Linked DNA regions of Arabidopsis thaliana. The protein of the gene in region 3 interacts with the protein of the main gene of each other region in a pairwise test. Each region holds a gene or a part of one and is shown on either strand. Other genes may lie near its edges. The genes, in order: AT5G66720, VAR3, KLCR2 and RIP1.

What was found.
Region 1: the proteins of KLCR2 (region 3) and AT5G66720 interact in a two-hybrid assay, tested with the Arabidopsis thaliana proteins (one large-scale study listed by BioGRID).
Region 2: the proteins of KLCR2 (region 3) and VAR3 interact in a two-hybrid assay, tested with the Arabidopsis thaliana proteins (one large-scale study listed by BioGRID).
Region 4: the proteins of KLCR2 (region 3) and RIP1 interact in a two-hybrid assay, tested with the Arabidopsis thaliana proteins (one large-scale study listed by BioGRID).

The regions. Positions count from the first base shown.
Region 1 is NC_003076.8:26,638,241-26,642,809, forward strand, and holds AT5G66720 (Protein phosphatase 2C family protein), read right to left. Parts: upstream 2,673-4,569; 5' UTR 2,441-2,672; intron 2,306-2,440; coding exon 1,809-2,305; intron 1,740-1,808; coding exon 1,430-1,739; intron 1,338-1,429; coding exon 1,188-1,337; intron 1,063-1,187; coding exon 775-1,062; 3' UTR 550-774; downstream 1-549. Other genes in the region: AT5G66710 (Protein kinase superfamily protein), read left to right, coding at 1-324; IDD1 (C2H2-like zinc finger protein), read right to left, coding at 3,674-4,380.
Region 2 is NC_003076.8:5,869,169-5,874,395, reverse strand, and holds VAR3 (zinc finger (Ran-binding) family protein), read left to right. Parts: upstream 1-1,613; 5' UTR 1,614-1,724; coding exon 1,725-2,167; intron 2,168-2,248; coding exon 2,249-2,375; intron 2,376-2,493; coding exon 2,494-2,774; intron 2,775-3,061; coding exon 3,062-3,160; intron 3,161-3,259; coding exon 3,260-4,586; 3' UTR 4,587-4,700; downstream 4,701-5,227. UniProt on the Arabidopsis thaliana protein: Probable component of some protein complex required for chloroplast and palisade cell development. Involved in C-to-U editing of chloroplastic RNA. Controls a large number of chloroplastic editing sites.
Region 3 is NC_003074.8:10,379,699-10,384,929, reverse strand, and holds KLCR2 (Tetratricopeptide repeat (TPR)-like superfamily protein), read left to right. Parts: upstream 1-1,680; 5' UTR 1,681-2,090; intron 2,091-2,271; exon of another isoform or gene 2,272-2,305; 5' UTR 2,306-2,336; coding exon 2,337-4,117; coding exon of another isoform or gene 4,118-4,121; exon of another isoform or gene 4,122-4,206; coding exon 4,207-4,417; 3' UTR 4,418-4,700; downstream 4,701-5,231. Other genes in the region: AT3G27950 (GDSL-like Lipase/Acylhydrolase superfamily protein), read right to left, coding at 5,159-5,231.
Region 4 is NC_003074.8:5,048,263-5,052,978, reverse strand, and holds RIP1 (cobalt ion binding protein), read right to left. Parts: upstream 2,785-4,716; 5' UTR 2,659-2,784; coding exon 2,270-2,658; intron 2,099-2,269; coding exon 2,001-2,098; intron 1,917-2,000; coding exon 1,851-1,916; intron 1,493-1,850; coding exon 858-1,492; 3' UTR 524-857; downstream 1-523. Other genes in the region: AT3G15010 (RNA-binding (RRM/RBD/RNP motifs) family protein), read right to left, coding at 1-135; DJ1A (Class I glutamine amidotransferase-like superfamily protein), read right to left, coding at 3,358-3,555, 3,645-3,785, 3,901-4,101, 4,268-4,348, 4,440-4,625. UniProt on the Arabidopsis thaliana protein: Involved in organellar RNA editing. Required for the processing of numerous RNA editing sites in mitochondria and plastids. Binds to the plastid RARE1 factor, a pentatricopeptide repeat-containing protein involved in RNA editing.

The DNA.
Region 1 (4,569 bases), on a different chromosome or scaffold from region 3:
GAGAATCTTCCAGAAGGCGTTGTTTCTATCCTGCAATCATGCTGGGCAGAGAATCCTGACGCTCGTCCTGAGTTTAAAGAAATTACATATTCACTAACAAACTTGCTCAGAAGCTTAAGCTCAGACACTGATGCTACTTCATCCAATAGCAAAGCCAATATAGCTACCGAGGATTCAACAAGCAGTCTGGTTCAAGAACGTGTTGTCTGTGATTGTCCCGGACTAAAGATGAGCAAGACGAAGAAGCTGAAGAAGAAGACGAATAAACTGATGAATATGATCGTCCCTTTTCTCAAGATCTTCAAAAGTTGTATGTCCAAGTGATGGAAGTAGAAACTCTCTGGTAAAAGATAAAAGGTATAGCAATACGAACTCGACAGAGTAAAACGAAAGAAAAAATGGTTAGGCTTTGTGCTTTGTTCTTTTTTGTTTGGTATTTCAACAATTTATGTTGAAAAATAGTATGCCAAACTAATTAGTGTACGGAATCGAAGAATATGTGGTATAAATAATAGAATCATCATATAATTTACTCTATGAACCATGATTATTCTATCGTGTTTTTTCACCTAAGTAAACACAATTAGATTCACGTTTCATAACTTAGCTAAACTATATTTTGATTCCGTGAAAAATACACATTTAATGACCTCCTGAGGACTTTTAATACCGTAACAAGTTTTTCAAAAAAACACAACAAAAAATAAAAGAAAAGGTATCGTCAGATTTTGGCGGGATTGGACCGTTTAAACAGAAGATCATCAATTTGGTCTCTTAAGATGAGGTGACGTAAGAAACGACGGCAGTGATGTCATCAAGCTTTCCTCCGTAATACCTGTAGCCAGCCTCCTGAGCCGCAGTTGCGAAAGGGCTCTGCCGTTTTTTGTCGACTGCTCTTTGACGTGCCAACTCTGCAATCTTCTGAGCTGTGCCTTTCGGGTCTAAACCGGCCCTCACCGAGCTAACCACCACTCCTGTGATCTCTTCATTGTATAAATTATCATACACTCCATCTGTTCCAGCGACAATGACATCTCCAGACTGAACATCAATTGTGAATACCTGATTCATATAACCACACCAGCGTGTTCAATTCAATCCGTATAACCCGAACCACAACTGAAAAGTGTATTCAAAATGGTCTTATTAAGCTTTGATAATAGGAAGAATACGCCTTTGAAACTGACCTGACCGGAGCTAGGGACGTCGGCACTGTTCCCACTCTCTAATTGATAAGTGAAGTTGAATCCATGCTGCTGAACCGGAGACTGAAACACCGTGGTTCCCTCTCTAACCACCGTGAATCCACTGTCTCCGAGATTAATGGCGTGTAATCCCTTGCACAAGGAGAACAAACACTCTTCAACAGACGGTTCTAAGAAATACAGTTGTTGTTCATTCACAAACAAAACTCTGTGAGCTAACTAACCTTATCTTTTAAAACGATGATACAAGCCGTGGAGGAGCCTTTGGCTTTGGTTTGAGAATGTGCTTTCTCTAACACCACTAAAGGGTCGATAGAAGAACCTTTATGCTGTTCTTGAATTGCAGATACTGAATAAGACATAAGCTCACGCGAAAACAGTCCCGCATTAACACCAACCTCAGCCCAACCGCCAACTCCATCTGCAACTCCAATAGCTTGTTCTTCATCGCAGATAAAGTGAGCGTCTTCTCCACCTGTAGCTTCCTTTTCAGGATGCGGGAGATAACATGACCCCGACACTAGCCTAAGACTCCTACTCAAAATATCAAAACATTGAAACCAATTGGTAACAAAAAGATTAAGAAAGTGTAAAAGAACTTACTTAAGAGATGTAGTAGTAGTTGGTGGTGACTCTTGAGAACCACCGTTAAGAGAAGACAGCTCATGAGCCGGTCCAACCGAGAAACAAGCCATAGGAGAAGTATGAACACTCTTAGACAATGTCCCAAAGAGTGCACGACTCTTTTCTAGCGGATCAACAACAGAATAGTGACAAACCAATCGGTTCTTCATCATTCCCCCTCTCTTCCCAAGTCTCATGCTAGCTACAGGACAATTAATAGTGAAGCTACCACCACTAGAACGCTTCTTAGTGAAGTCTAAGCCATTTGAACAAGTAGTAACCAAATCATCCAAACAAGCGTCTCCAAACACTGGCAAAGAACCAGAAGCAGCCATGGCTTGACGAAACCGAGAACTATCAGAAAACAATCTCCTTTGACCCGAATTGGAGAAGAAGCTCTTACTTTTCCCAGCAACGATTCTTTGAAACCCAAATTGAGAAACTGGGTTTAATCTCGAGAGAGCAGTCGCTGACATCTGAATCAATAATAATCAATAAAAGGAAAGATTTTTACCAAAACTGAACAAAGCTACACCAAAATCAACAGACTATAAAACGAGCCCTTAATCATTACCCACTTCAAATACTTGAGATAAGAGATAAACTATTACCGGATTCTTCACTAGTCAGGGCTTTTTCCGTCTTCTTCTTCGCCGGAATTAGGTTAGAGAAGAGAGGAAGGAATATATAAAGATCTCTTGTTTCCGCTACCTACCTGCAGCTGCGAGCTCCTCCGTAAAACTCATTAGCCGATGAGGGCAAAATCGGAAACTTAACTTGTTTCTTCGTGTTCAGTTTTCGATGTCTGAAATTTCTCAGCGAAATTAAAAAATACTAAGAGATAATAATTTAATGGTCTTGGACTTGACATTTAAGGCCCAATAGTATTAAGCTTGTGGACTTGAGTAGTCTTCAGCATAATGACTAATGAGCTTAAAATATCAATGGCCTATTAAGAAAGAAACATTTCACAATCAACCCCAATAGGCTTCTCTCTTCTTGCTTACTGTACACAACCAATTTTATTTTCTTAATATTGAAAACTACACGATCATTGCTCGAGTCCAAGCATATCAATATTGATCAAATGATAAAGTCACACTAATCATAGTTACTGATTTCTGTTAAACTTCCGATTTTGTAATACAGTAAATATGATGTGGGTAAATAAATTATCTTGCTCTCCAAAATAAAATACAAAATAGTGCCTTTGTGGGTTGAATTGTCATGATAATTCTATCACTATAATGGACCTACGTAGCGATTGAAACATCAAAATCCAAAATCTTTGGTCGATTCTCCAATCAAATCACACTGGTCAAGTCTCAAATTATCTGGCCAAATTGAGACTATTTTTAGTTCTGCAAGTTTTTAGACAAATATCACCACCTTCCAAAAAATTTATCACTTTTGGGAGAAGTCAATTCAATCTCATCTACGAATTGTTCCCATTAATGCAAAAATTCGATTCAGCGTTTTAAGACAGCAAGCAACACCCAATAATAGAAACTTCAAACCCCATTGATTGTTTTCACATGGTAGAGACTTCCATCAGAACTAGACCAAGATTTGTAACCATCTGTAATAATTTAGCTGTCATGTCACAACCCGAGTTCAAATTATCTCTCAAAGTACAACATGTGAGTTATAATAAACCACACACCAAAAAAAAAACAATATATTTTGTTGTTGTTGCTAGGAGATTTATGTACTTGAGAGAAAACCCACTTGGGAATAAAACTAAAGCTTTCACTAAAACAAGATACCAAAACATCTAAAACCTGAAACAAACTTGATGAACTATATACTACACTGGTCTACTACGTTCATGCCTTTTGTCTCTCTTACGAACTTCTTCCAATGTCTTTGCCTGAAAACTCCCCTGATCCAAACAGATCGATTCCACCTCCACCACCTATAGAAGTTAACAGAGCAGACAATCCACCTCCGGTATTACCACCATTACCAACAGCTCTTCCTAATCCAAGAAAGTCTAGTGTCGTCTGTTTCGGACCAAACACCGATGAATTCCCCATCATGAGCTCTTTTAGACCCGATCCGCTACCACCGCTGCTACAAGGTAGTCCAAGTCCAAGACCAGGAGCTAATGACAATGCATCATGATTGCTGAGTTCCATAGATGAAGAAGTAGTTGAAACTATGCCTAACCCGCGAAGCAACGAACCTCCTGATCCCGTGGAACCCATTTGTGCAGCTTTTTGGAGCAATGCAGTAGCTGACATTGCCGGTTGAGGAGGGAGAGGAGTTAGGAAATGTGGCGGATCTCGTATTGTTGGTCCGAACAAAGAAGGGTTCGTCGAGAGACAGAGAGAGATGGGTTCCATGGAGGACGATGGTGCGAATAGACTTGGAGAAGCGGTTGAGGAAGCATATAAACTAGGCGAAGCTGTTGATGATACAAACAAACCTGCGTATCCACCATTGTTGTTACTGTGATCATTGCTTAGATCCGATGAGCTAACATTGAACCCGATCGTTCTTGAAGCTTCCTCAATAATGACTTCAGGATGATTGTTGTTTTCTTGAGATTCTACAAACAAAAAGAGATGATGAGTCATGGACATAAACTTTGAGGCTTTAATTATAATTAATGGATACATTATAGGCTTAGCTATGGAAGACGACGAACACGATTCAGTTTTTTAGCAGACATCAGAAATATAACGGCGCTACAGACAAAACCAACTAAACTCCAAGTTCACCGACCAGTTTACAGTTG
Region 2 (5,227 bases), on a different chromosome or scaffold from region 3:
GTAGTTCGTGGATCCATCGGATCATGTTCGTCATTTGATAAAGTCGTCGGTGAATTTTACGAAATGGTTAGTGGTTATTGATCATTGTTTAACCACAATTTCTAACACTCTCACTTGTACGATTAAAGTTAATGGAATTGTGTTTTTCTTATCCTTTTAAAATTTGAGACAATCTTTCAATAGACCCAGAAAACAAAAGGTGGCGAGAAAAGGTAACTTCGAAACTCCAAGCGCTAAAATAATGTTCGGATAATCATGATTCATGAGATAAGTCACACTAATTACATTAACATAGAAAAAGTTTCTTTAAAACTTCTTGATTAGTTTTAAAGAAGACACTTTAACTAATTTGAGGAATTTAGGGCTTTATCTCATGATGTAATGACATAAAGTCTCTTTATTAAAATTGAATTTTAATTACAAATCATGTCAAAGTTGTTAGCCCGTCCATTGCACTTGTGGCATAGAACTAAACATGTCACATCAAAGTATAAATAGTAATTAATTATGATAAAATACATTTCTAGGGGAATTAATGAGGTTATACCTTACGGACTTAGATTGAAGTCATTATCAAGGCAGTTAATTGTCTACGTACTCACCAATATTTTACTCCACATAGATCTAAACAAAGAAATTAGTTATTACATTATAAATAGCTTAGTGTATGTAAAAGTGTTAATCAGAATAAACATTAGTCAAAAGTTGACGGCAGTGATCGGCAACTAATCCACACCCAACTTTAACTCACAGTGACTCCCACGTTCAAGAGAACACAAATATTATTCTCTCCTTTTTAGTTCCACTGATGTTTTAATTTTCGTTTCTTTCGTTTATATAAAACTATATTCATAACGTATTATTTTTTAGTTAATTTTTATTTCTTAGGTTTTATTATATATTGTAATTGTATAAGTTCTGAAACCAAGAAGTACTAATACATAATAAATATAACTATTTTAGATCCTTGACATAGCTTTTTTCTATAGTATATGTAAAAATAGTCTATATCATCTATTATTTTCGAAAGTTGTAAGTTGTAACATATAAACTTATTAATTTAAGAAAAACAAAAGTTAGAAATTAAATAACGTATGTGAATTGAAATCTCTAAACAAGTAAACATCACTTATTACGAACATATGTAGAAGTATAACTATAATCGAGGTTTGTTAAGTAAGTGAAAATTCAATAACGGAGAAATGTATGACTATAAATCTTTTAAAGTTATAGCGGCTTTAAGTCAAAAGAAATGTATGCATGCGTATGACATTGTACAATGTACACTTCAACTTTTCAAGTCACGAAAATTGATGTCAAATCGACGTGCAATTTGATAAATACCGAATCTGCAAACTCCTTTTTATATTGTATAAACTGAAGATTTCAACATAAAACTTACGCTTATCTTTAAAACATCTCTTAGATTAGATTACTATCAGTTCGTTACTTGGGTTAATTCCATTATTAGTACGAAACCATTTACTTTTTCTTTAAGAGACATCCCATTTGAATGAAATACATTATTTACCAAAGTTACCAAACATTCATAATGGCAAGCCCAAGTAGTAGCACACAGAATTATGGGCCTATGTTAGCCAATATGGGCTTATTTTTTTCTTCATTTTGCAATTATTTTGCGATTTATTAATCCTTTTTTTTTCCTTAAACATCACTGAAATAATTCTCGCCGGTAAAAATAAAACCAGTGACGACGAGCAACGATGAACAACTCCACCAGACTCATCTCCCTCTTCTCTCCTCATCCTCCTCCTCTCTTTCTACTCCGTGGTCTCTACATCAGCCGCATAGCCAATCTCCGCCGTTTCCACCGCCGTGCGTTTCCTCCTTCGTCCGTTGCCTCAACCAATCTATGTTCTTTCCGTCCACTCGTGTCATTGCCGCCGCTTATCCCCACGTTTCCTATAGGACGATTCTACAATCACCAAGTCCGTGTCTCCGCCGCAGATTTTGTTCCTTCTTATCACAACCAGCAGCTACCTGAATGGACAGAGCTACTCCAATCTCTCTCCAAAGCTGGTTACTTCTCAGATTCCGGTTCGATTTCTGGTTTAGAAAGTGAATTCTTTCCCGGTTTTCCTGATGAACTTCTCCGTCCAGCTCTTGCTTGCTTAGCTCTAGCTCGTGAACGACCAGAACTGCTTGAGTAAGTAATCTGCAATTTTTTCTCTTTCTCTTTTTGGATTGATTCTCAATCTGAATATCTGATGATGTTAGTGTTTATTAGAATGCTTTCGAGGAGAGACGTTGAAGTGCTGGTGGAGAATGGAAAGCCATTTTTATTCAAGACAGGTCCAGATTCACTTAAAAGGATGAGCCTTTACCTAAGAAGTGGTCTTCAGGGCATTGGTAAGGTAAGTTCTATCTTCTGGCAAATGCTTAGTCTTTTATTGGTGAATGCTAGGTTATGTCTAAACTTGGTTCAATGGTGATTTGTGCCTCAAAGTTATGATCTTTTGTGTTTTACATTAGTTGATGGATATGGAGAAGGCGAGTACAGTTGATTTGATGAGGCTTATTTTGAGTTATGTTGTGGATGTTGCTTCTTCTGAGGAGAGCAAACAACATAACAAAGAGATTATGGAGTCATCGGTTCGAAGCCTCTTGAGTCAGATAGCGAAGATGAGCTTGCGTCCTCCTGAGTCGAATGTTCATGACACGATGCAAAATCAGTACTCAGATAGAGATGGACAAGGAGTCAGGTCTTTTCAGAATAACGTTGAGATGAAACGTGGTGACTGGATTTGCTCGAGGTATGAATTTGTTGGATTCTCAGTAGCTTTTTGGTGTAAATCTCCTATGGCCTTTTGGTTACCATTCTTCTATGGAAAGATATAAGTAGGCCTAGATATAAGGATACCATAAAAAAAAATCTTCTGGATCTGAGCTTGAACAAGTATACTTCTGACTATTACACTAGTATTGTGGTCGAAAGATCTTATTTTTAGAGCTAAGAAGTCAGTATGGTGTAATTGTCTTTGTTTCATCATCTTGTCGTTTAGGGAATCTATATATATGATGTGGGAATTTGTTGAAACAGGTGCAGTGGCATGAACTTTGCGAGAAATGTCAAATGCTTCCAGTGTGATGAAGCAAGACCAAAGAGACAGCTTACTGGTAGTGAATGGGAGTGTCCTCAGTAAGAAACTGATTTTTTCTCTCTGCTACTTTATGACTAATGCGATGAGGAATGATGAGGTTAACCTTTCCTTTCTTTCTTGGTTGTTTCACTTATCAGATGTGATTTCTATAATTACGGGAGGAATGTAGCTTGCTTAAGATGTGACTGCAAGCGACCCAGGGACTCTTCACTCAATTCAGCCAACTCTGATTATTCAAGTGACCCTGAACTTGAGAGAAGACTGGTCGAAAACGAAAAGAAAGCACAGAGGTGGCTTAGTAAAGTAGCACAGGGTGGTTCTGATGCGAACAGTGTTGATACAGATGAAGATTTCCCAGAGATTATGCCTTTGAGGAAAGGAGTGAATAGATATGTTGTTAGCACGAGGAAGCCACCTCTTGAGAGAAGGTTGGCTAATACTGAGAACAGAGTAGCTACAGATGGAAACTCGAAAAGGAGCGACGATAATGCTTTGGGAAGTAAAACAACTAGGAGCTTGAATGAGATTCTTGGTTCTTCATCCTCTTTGACTTCTCGTTCTGATGACAAGAATGTATCTTCCAGAAGGTTTGAATCTTCTCAGGGAATAAACACCGATTTTGTTCCTTTCGTGCCATTACCTTCGGATATGTTTGCCAAGAAACCTAAGGAGGAAACACAGATAGGTCTGATTGACAACATCCAAGTGGATGGTTTCTCAGGCGGCAATCAAAATGTCTATCAAGAGGACAAGTCAGATGCAAATCACTCTGGCAAAGAAACAGATCGCCTTGAAAAGGAAGATCACAAATCAGAGGAACCTGCGAGGTGGTTCAAACGGGTCACCGAACTGCACAATGTTTCAGACTTGGAAAGCGCAATACCGCAAGAGATTTCTCCTGAGAAAATGCCTATGCGAAAAGGAGAGAATCGGTTTGTAGTGAGTAGGAAGAAAGACCGTTCACTGACTTCTCCAGCATACAAGAGGCCAGAAGATTCAGACTTTGTCCCCTTTGTCCCTTTCCCACCTGACTACTTCGCCAAAGAGAAACAACCCAAGGAATCAATAGATACTCTTCCAGCTCCGGCGACAGAAAACGTTTCTCAGGTAGTACAACAAGAACCAAGAGAACCTTCAATCAACAAATCTGATACAGTGGCAGTGAAGATCAGAAATGGAAAGAGCTTGGAGGGTTCGTTAGTGAAGGAGTCAGACTTGTTGGACATGTCAGAGGAAGCAAAAGCAGAGAGATGGTTTAAGAGAGTGGCTGAGATTAAGAACATATCAGAGCTGAGTGAGATCCCAGACGAAGATTTCCCGTCGATAATGCCGATGAGGAAAGGAGTGAATAGGTTTGTTGTCAGCAAGAGGAAAACTCCCTTGGAACGGCGTTTAACTTCTCAACGACACCAGAGAAATCCTCATATCACCAACTCTGATCCCACTGGTAAAGGAGATAAATGACCATGTAGCATAACATTTTTTCGGAGTAATATTACCATACGATTTTTGTATTTCTTTAATTCAACTTCTATATACACAATGTGTAGAAACTTTATTCTCCATCTTTACCGACGGCATCCTTTAGAAGTCGCTGTGTTTCTTCTCTCCTCCTGCACACAACAAAATCAACATTGCTATAATACATCAAACGTTACCACAACAAGCTTTTGAAGAATCTTGGATGGATGATACTGATACCATTAATATAATAAAGTTAATGCACACAAACATCTTAATGTCCTTCACAGCTTGCTTTCGCTGTTGAATTTGAAGTTCCATAATGTGAATAAGCTTTGGTCTCGCCTTGATTAAAAGAAACAACACAAATATATATACAGACAGAATGTTGTGAATATAAACGTAACACAAAGTGATGAAACATGTTGTGAATGAAAAGAGATCGTTACTTGGTGAGGCAGTAAAGAATTGAGAAAGTAATGCAAAATATTAAAGATTGAAGATATATCAGCAAGCTCCAAAAGGAGAGTTATAAGCAAAACCGAAAACACGTCGTTAGAGGCAAGATTTAGAACGAGAGGCAAGATTTAGAACGACGTCGTTTATGATATCTGCGGGTAAATCAGGCTCCCCTATTTTGGGCC
Region 3 (5,231 bases):
ATAGTATTTGACAAATTTGTCAAAATTATATACGTTCTGACCTAAAATTTTCGAAGAAAACAAAAACGTGTTGGTAATATAAAACGCGTAGGAATTTAGAAAACCAAATAATTTGTGAACAGATAAGATTTGATATGGGATTCGAGCGGCGAAAGAGTTAAAGAAAACAGCACCGCCCAACAGTCGTCAATGATTACAATTTGTTTTCAGTTCATAAATTAATCCAATGAATTGCTTATGAACTGACGATAAAAAAGAATTGCTTATAACTTTGTGAATAGGAAATAATAAAGTATTTGTGGTTACAGAGTTGTCTTTATGCAATATACAAAAATAAAAATCCGAAGGAAGAGACGTTGTTAGGTCTTAGAATTATGAACAAACGTGTGGGTTGTCTCTGTCTCTTGTAAGAAACCAAGTCATACATAATTTGCATATATAATATGACCGACCAACCAAATAATATAATGTTATGGGCTCTTAACAAAAACATATATAAATAGTCATTTCGTTGTGACAAGAAAAAAAAAATAAATAAAAATAATAGTCATTTCGATATTTTGTTGGTTGGCTAGTGAAAAAATTGCCTTAAGCGCATTATCGTTTTTTCACAATAAAATTGACTCATGAAATATGGGAACGAGAGTTCTATAAAAATTACATTTTGGGTAGGCCCTACACTGATGACTATAAGGGCCCATAAAGCCGTAATGGGCTTAAAGGTGGACCACATCTGGACCATAAAACCAGGCTGTCTAACTGGTATGCAGCTGTAGTCCACGTGTCATATCATTTCGTCATTAAGAAAAATTCTTACTAAATTAGTGATTCAATCCTTTAAATCCAGTGGTCCAATTTTTCTTTCCATAAAGAGTTAAAGACTATACTAAAAAAAAAACACTGCATCATTATATCAATCAAAAGGCTAAATTTTTAACTGTTCACGTTTTTAATATTACGTATATAGATTAGAGATCATGGGATGATCATTAGAGATAATTGATGATTAAGTATGACACGTGGCGGAATCTCAACGGTACTTATTATACAGCTGTGAATTTGTAGGGTTTGACGTAGACTTGTGAATTGTGATCTTTCCCCAGCATTTAATTAGCTGGCTAATTAACCTGCAAAACTCAATTTTTTTTTGTTCTAATTTAACTCATTAAATCCCTAAAAAATTGCATTTCAAGGAAACAATATTTCTTTTAGGATAAATAAGAAAAATAATTAATTCTTAACGGGCAAAACTCAAACTTTAACTTTAAAAAAACAAATTCATGAAAAAATTGCATGTGAAGGAAACAATATTTTTTAAAAGTTTTAATTAAAAAAAAGGTAATCTTGAAATGGATGAAACATTCATTTCATAGTGTTTAGTTTCCAGAAAGAATCTCGTTTTTTTCTGCTGTAATTTTTGGGGAATTATTTTTTATCTGTCGGTTTTACTTTTCCTTCTTTGAAAATTTGTAATTTTCTTTGGTTTCACAGCAAATTTTTAATCAAATTTTAGATGATAAAAAAAATGGATGAGACATTCATTATTATTTTTCAAAGAGATAAATTTATTTATAAAATTGAGGAAAAAAGATAAATTATTTAAAGAGAGAGTGCAAGTAGGGAAGAAGTCATCTTCTTTTTATTGCTTCAAGAGTCAATCATCTTCAAACCTAATGATCTTCAAAAAAATTTCTGGTTATGCATCTCTTTCTTGAAAAAATAATCATATAATCACATCAAAAAGAGTCAATTATCATCTTCATTATCTTAATATAATCAATCAATAATTCAATTTAAAAGGTAAATTAAAGTAAGCAATGTAGACCCAAAAAAAAAAGTCTGCTTTTGTTTCAAAACATATAAGGACAGTGAAAGGGTTTGTGCATAAATGTTGTTGCTTCATCTTTCTCATAACATTAGCTATGAGATTATGAAAGTGAAGATATAAAACAAACACCTAAAAGTGAAAAGTACAAGACACCAAATCCTTCATTTTCATCTCTTACACAACCACACTAAGTTACCAAAAAACAGAATCTGTTCTTTTTTTGCCTTCTTGCAGATTTCTTCAGAGTCAAAGACACATAAAGGTTCGATTTTTATCTCTTAAAATCTTCAAAGTTTTCGTTTTTCTTTTCAATTTCGTTGAATTTGATTCTGGGTTTTGTTCTCTGTTAGTAACTGAATCTATGTCAGCTTTAGATAATTCTAGTTAGGGACTTATGGTTCTCAATTTCGAGTCTTTTGATGTTATCTTGTTGTTTTAACGGATTTGAATCTAAAATCTTGGTCTCCATTGATTCAGATTTATAATTGAGTTGTGAGTTTTGGAGGCCATGGACGTAGGAGAGAGCAATGAGAGGGTAAAAGACGATTCTGCCCTTCAAGCTTCACCGAGGAGTCCTCTGAGTTCTATAGATCTTGCAATTGATGGAGCTATGAATGCTTCTATTGAGCAGTTGTATCATAACGTTTGTGAAATGGAGAGTTCTGATGATCAGTCTCCGTCCAGGGCGAGTTTTATTTCGTATGGAGCTGAATCTAGGATTGATTTGGAGTTGAGGCATTTGGTTGGAGATGTAGGAGAAGAAGGAGAGAGCAAGAAAGAGATTATCTTGGAGAAGAAGGAAGAAAGTAATGGAGAAGGTAGCTTGAGTCAGAAGAAACCTCTTTCGAATGGTAAGAAGGTTGCGAAAACGAGTCCTAATAATCCGAAGATGCCGGGTTCGAGGATCTCTTCGAGGAAATCACCGGATTTGGGGAAGGTTTCTGTTGATGAGGAGAGTCCTGAGCTTGGTGTGGTGTTGTTGAAGCAAGCCAGAGAGTTGGTTTCTTCAGGTGAGAATTTAAACAAGGCTCTTGATTTAGCGTTGAGAGCGGTGAAAGTGTTTGAGAAATGTGGGGAAGGAGAGAAACAACTTGGGTTGAATTTGGTGATGTCTTTGCATATCTTGGCAGCGATATATGCAGGGTTAGGGAGATACAATGACGCTGTGCCTGTTCTTGAACGTTCTATCGAGATACCGATGATTGAAGATGGTGAGGATCACGCGTTGGCGAAATTTGCAGGGTGTATGCAGCTTGGTGACATGTATGGTTTGATGGGTCAAGTTGAAAATTCGATTATGCTATACACCGCGGGTTTGGAGATTCAAAGACAAGTTCTTGGAGAATCGGATGCACGAGTTGGCGAAACTTGTAGGTACTTAGCGGAAGCTCATGTTCAAGCAATGCAGTTTGAAGAAGCCTCAAGGCTTTGTCAAATGGCATTGGACATTCACAAAGAAAACGGTGCTGCCGCTACAGCTTCTATTGAAGAAGCTGCGGATAGAAAACTGATGGGACTTATCTGCGATGCGAAAGGTGATTATGAAGTTGCGCTTGAGCATTATGTTTTAGCGAGCATGGCAATGTCATCTCAGAACCATAGAGAAGATGTTGCTGCTGTAGATTGCAGTATTGGTGATGCTTACATGTCGCTAGCTAGGTTTGATGAAGCGATATTCGCATACCAGAAGGCTTTAGCTGTGTTTAAGCAAGGAAAAGGTGAGACTCATTCCTCTGTTGCTTTGGTTTACGTTAGGCTTGCTGACTTGTACAACAAGATTGGGAAAACACGCGATTCCAAATCGTACTGCGAAAACGCTCTCAAGATTTACCTAAAACCGACTCCAGGAACTCCTATGGAAGAGGTTGCGACTGGTTTTATAGAGATTTCTGCGATATATCAGTCAATGAATGAACTTGATCAAGCTCTTAAGTTGTTGAGACGGGCGTTGAAGATATATGCAAACGCTCCAGGTCAACAGAACACGATTGCAGGTATTGAAGCTCAAATGGGTGTGGTTACTTATATGATGGGAAATTACTCCGAGTCCTACGACATATTCAAGAGCGCGATATCAAAGTTCCGCAATAGCGGAGAGAAAAAAACCGCTCTTTTCGGGATTGCTTTGAATCAGATGGGACTAGCTTGCGTTCAGCGTTACGCGATCAATGAAGCTGCAGATTTGTTTGAAGAAGCGAAAACTATTCTTGAGAAAGAGTGTGGACCGTACCATCCCGATACATTAGCGGTTTACAGTAACCTTGCTGGAACGTACGACGCAATGGGAAGGTAAATTTGGAACTTAAAACAATTTTCTTGCTAGGTTATGTTTTTTGGTATTTCCCTGCGGTACAAGCAATGTGTTACTTGCTTTACAGGTTAGATGATGCTATAGAGATATTGGAGTATGTTGTTGGGACAAGAGAAGAGAAGCTCGGGACGGCAAATCCCGAGGTTGAGGACGAGAAGCAGAGGCTTGCTGCGTTGTTGAAAGAAGCTGGAAGAGGAAGGAGTAAAAGAAACAGAGCACTTCTTACCCTTTTGGACAACAACCCTGAAATTGCAAATGGACAGAGACCGGTTTATTGATTAACCGGATTATTGTCCGGTCTAAAATGTATATATATACAAAATACAAGTTCGAATACGGTACTTACACGGTCGAGGGAGAAGGAAAAAAATGAAGAGGCTTTATGTTTTCTAGTTTTATAAAAAGTGAAGGAAAAAAAAAAAAATCTTGCATTTGTTTTCTTTATAAATAAAATGTAAAGAGTAAAACGCAATTGATTTGGTCGTTTTGTAATGTGATTTACATTGAAATTTTGGAGTTTAAAAATCTCCTTGATGGCAGTTTCTCTAACTTTGAGCACTGATCTTGAGTAAACAACAAGTGTTTGGTTACTAAAACATCTTGTCTGGTCTTGTCATGTAATGTTCATGAATGTCAACAAAAAACAATAACCGAATATACACATACATATGTAGCATGAGAACATAAAGAGACGACCCACCGAATCAAGAAGTTGTCACTTAGCAAAGCAACAAAAGAAAAGTTGTCACTAAGCAAAAGATAATCTGAACTAAGCGGTTTAAAATTTCTTACCAAACAAGTTACTGATTATTTGATATAGTCTTTTATATAATAACTAATATGATAAGATGTGAATAGAAACATTCTGCTTAAAGCTGCATATATTGTAACCAATGACTTTTTGAAGAAAATTTTACATTGATTCAAAAACAAAAAGAGAGATGTGAATAGAAATTTTGGCTAGTTACTTGAAAGCACCAGAAATATGCTAGACATTTATTAGTTTATATCATGGCAACTTATTTTTTCGTGAGTTTACATGCTTTTTGGGTAGGGAGAGGTGGATCCGATATCGAACCATCGAGGATTCGG
Region 4 (4,716 bases), 5.3 Mb from region 3:
CTGATCAGTGGTGAATCGCTCGATAATCTTCCTCGCGTCTTGCGGCGACAATCGAGTTGGACCAATGGTTCCGCCACCGTTGGTATTGAGTCCGTTACCGTTCTCATCGAGCTTACGCTTCTTCATCATATCCATGGTTACAGATTTATCTCTGGAGTTATTCTTTCACCGGTAAATCCCTAATCCTTCTAGTCCAGCCGTAGAGAAAGCGAATCTGACACGAAAAAAAAGAGGGGAAAATATGTGACGGCGGAAAAACATATGAGGGAAGCGAGGGCTTTATACGGTTACGAGATTTTCCATTTTGGGCTGAAATTTAGAATGATGGGCCGGGATAAAGAACACAAAGCCCATCTTGTTACTTCACACCCGCTTCTCTCTCTCATCATCAAATTGTGTGTTCTGTCAAGTTTGTCGAAAGAAATATGATATTGATGACATTTGTCATTCTTCCTGTTATAATATGAGTATCCCATTCCCATGTAAACATGATTGGGGAATTAGAAATTAAGACTAGGAAGAAGCCAAAGAAAGACACAAAACAATAGCCTGTGGGAGACATGTTACTAAATCCCGTTTAATGCAGAACCAGGAGTGGACATAAGAGTAGCAAGCATCACAAGGAAGAACTTGAGATCGATTTAGGATATAAACTACTAAAAAGAAACGCAAGAGTGAAAAGTTCTAACCATGCCACAGTAACTTAGGCTATTCTCTCTCACATAATCCCAGACTGATAAACACTCGAGATAAAAGGAGTTTTAAAGTCTTGCTACTGCACTCTCTCTTCCTCAAATTATCTATACACAGCCCAGAATGCATGATTAAAAAGGAAACCCACGACTGCTTCAACTGCTTTAACCCTGGTAGGGGTTGCCACTGCCATCCCGGTTAGGTGGGTAGTTGTTCTGGTACTGTGGCTGCTGCATTCCACTACCCTGCTGCTGGTAGTTGTTGTTCTGTGGGGGTGCTCCTCCGTATTGAGGTGGTGGTACTGCTCCATATTGAGGTGGTGGTCCTCCTCCATAGTTTGGTGGTGGTGCTCCTCCCATGTTGTTTGCTGGTGGTGCTCCTCCATAGTTGGGAGGTGGTGTTCCTCCATAGTTCTGAGGTGGCCTCGGTCCTCCCATGTTGTTTTGCGGTGGTGCTCCATAAGGTGGTGGATGCCTTGGTCCTCCCATGTTGTTTGGTGGTGGTGGTCCATAGTTCTGCCCCATGTGAGGTGGAGGAGGTGCAGAGCCACCCATATGAGGCGGAGGAGGTGCAGAGCCACCGATGTGCGGAGGAGGAGGAGGGCCTCCCATGGGAGGACGTTGAGGAGGAGGGCCTCCTGCCATGTTCTCTCTTCTCCTCTCAAAGTTTCTGCTTCTATCATTGTTGCGAGGACGGTCATTGCGTCTGTTCCTTTCATTTGCTCTAGCATTGTTCCTTATCCACTCCTCGTGGTACTTAGGATCATAAGGAACAGCCTTCCCATCGATGAAAGGTTCCCCTGAAAGTCAATATATACAAAAACGCATCAAACTAACTCTCTAATAGGATCACCAGAAAGATTTAAACTCTCACCAAAGCAACATCACTGCGACTTCTACAACACCAGTCTCACAATAGATATCACTAAATCAAATCTAACAGATGCACCCACAATGTTAATTAACTATAAATAGAAGTCGCCCCATGTGTCAATCTAACACAAAAGCATGGAGCAAGTAACGAGTCCACAGAGCGAAGACTAGCAACAGGTAGTTTCCCTTGAAAATTTCAAACCCAGCAAAAGTATAATGGACGAGCAAAGCAACTACCCCAATTTCAAACCCAGGTTATGATACAGATAATACACTTAAGCCTACCTCCATAGTCTTTGTTCCTCACATCCAGGTAAGAGTCAGGAAGAACCCAGCGCACATTTGACAACTCTGGAGAGTTACAGAAGAAAGTTAGAAGGCAGATTATAACACAGAAATGAGGAAAACTAAAACCCAACAAAGGCAAGAGTTAACCTTTTAACTTGTGAGAAAGATCTTCTGACACAAGTGCCCCAAAAGCATAGTAGCACCTAGTTGAAACCGAGTAGATCTTCATCCTAGCTTCGTCTTCACTGAAATGTCCAAAACGAGATATATCATGTTACAGCTCCAAAAATGATCTAAGTAAACACACAGATCCGTCATACACAGTAGTGGATTTCTCACTTATTTAACCTAAAATCCCTAGAAGAACATACACAGAGAGAGAGAGAGAGAGAGAGAGTTTTGAATTGGGGATTTACCTGCCAACAATCTGAGCTAGGGTTTTGATGTAGCTATCAATGATTTCATCTCTAGTAGGCTCACCCTGAGGTGGCTCCACGACGACAAGCCAGTGCTCGAAATCGCAACCATCGAGCAGGATCGTCTCCTTAGGTGGCCTGTTCGACCAGTTGGGATTCGGGTCGTTCAGAGAAGACGATGTAGCCTGCGTCGAGAGACCTTTGACAGACACAAGGCCGCCACGGAAAACGGAGGAAAAAGCGGCGACCAGAGGACGGGACCGGCTGAGCAGAGAAGACGCCGGAGATTTGGCGAGAGGAGCAGATGAAGCAAAGGATCGCGTGAACAGAAACGAAAGAGATTTCGCCGGTCGGCAAAGAATGGATCGAGAAATGGTATGCGTCGCCATGGAAGCTCTAGATTGGGCTTCGCAGATAAAACCCTAGGAGAGAGTGTGAAAACAGATGAGCTAGAAATGAAATCAAGGGTTTTATGAGGGTTTAATAGTAGATTATGAGTCGAGGGCATTTTAGGTATTTCATAACTGAACTGGACAGCGAAATCTACGGTACTACCCCCTGATCTTATCAGATTCAACAAAATTGCCCCTATTTTACCTTAAGTTACAAATAAACACATTTTCGCCAAGAAATTAGTGACATTACTCTGTTTTCAAATGATAAAAAAGCTATTTTTATACAAGAAGAGAAGACTGAAGATTTTATTTTCACTAAATTGGTAATAATCATATTATTAAATGGTTTACAAATATGAAATATTCCAAAGCTAAACATAGGGGCAAATTCGTATTTTAGAGTTATTGTAAGGTCAATTTGGTGAAAATGTGTGACTAAAATATCTTTCTCCATAAAATAATTTTTTTCTCCAGCACACCCTCTAGCTCTTGCAGAGGTTTAAAGAAAATATCGGCAACATACATAGAAAAATCTCGTTTATTCATTTATAAAGGCATAAAGTTACACACCAATCACTAAGCCAAGCTCATATGTCATATATCATAAAGTAAGTAATTACTAATGGAGAGAGATAACTAAAAGGCAAAGCCTTCTTTTTATTCAAGCCACTCTCATACTTTCATTGTTTGAAATCACACAAGTGTTGCCTTTCCGAGCTGAAGAGCTTTCTCTCGCCCGTAAAACTTTTCGACAATGGCAAGTGAAAACTCCATTGCAGTCCCTGGAGCTCTGCTTGTTATGACATTTCCATCTACCACGACTCTGTGCTCAATGTGACTCTTGTCCGAAAGTTTGTCGCTCACCACTGGGTGAGTAGTAGCCTTCTTACCCTATACAAAACATGTCTCTTATATCTCAGTTTAATGACTTAAAAGATAGAACAAGAAACTACAATTCTAGTACTGTTTGATTTATGCACCTTGAGTAAACCATTAGGCTCGAAGACGTAAGCAGGCGATGCGCAGATTCCTCCATATGGTTTGTTTGCTTCTGCCTGTTTCCTTAACATATTAACTAGCTTCTCGCAGCTTGCGAATCTTTGAGCACCGTTAAGACCGCCCTGTAGTTCATCAAAGAAGTTGGATTATGTTTTTGGTTATTTGTCATCATAGAATATTAAAATTTAATTTAAGACTAAATAGTATATTCACATTTTGGAAGTTAGCAATACTCACAGGTAACACAATCAGATCAAACGACTTCTCTGCAACCTCATCAAGAAGAACTTCTGCTACTAGCTTAGCTTTGCGAGATCCTTCAACTTCCAAACTGTTACCAACTGCAGCAATCACTACATTTGCTTTTGCCCGCCTCAGGATATCTACAAGCGCTATAGCTTCAATTTCCTCTGACTCCTCTGCAATGGGTACGAGAATCTGAAAAGGGAAAACATTATCTCTCTGACTCATAAAAGACTATTGATCAAGAAAGACAAAAGCTTTACAACACAGCATGTTCCTAGGAATCTGTATAACGGATCAAACAAAGCCTGTCTTGGAAAAATGTTAAAAGGGCCAAGTGGAGAGGCAACTGAACATTTACCTGTGGTGTATCTTCAAATGACCAGTTTGTTTGGTTAAGCTCAGTAAAAGTAAACTCCTCACCAGGGTTAGGACGAAGCAGCTGATTTCAAAAGGATAACAAGTAAGTCTACGAGGAGGTGACATGAACACGTACCACAGCGGTTGATAAAAGAGGCAGAGACAAAACATACCAAGATACTGGAGACTTCATCAGCTTTTTCTTTCCCAAACAACTGCTCTATAAGCGTGATGGAGAATTCAATGGTGGTTCCTGGTCCACGACTGGTCACTATTCTTCCATCAATTTGCACTCTTGACTCAACAGCAGTTGCACAAGTAGCCGCAAGTTTCTCCATAAAAACAGGGTAACCCGTTGCCTGCAAGAAACCCCATGTAATAACAAGACATTACAAGGCCTGAAAAAAAGATAAATAAACGCCCTTGGAAATATACTGATCACTTCTGACT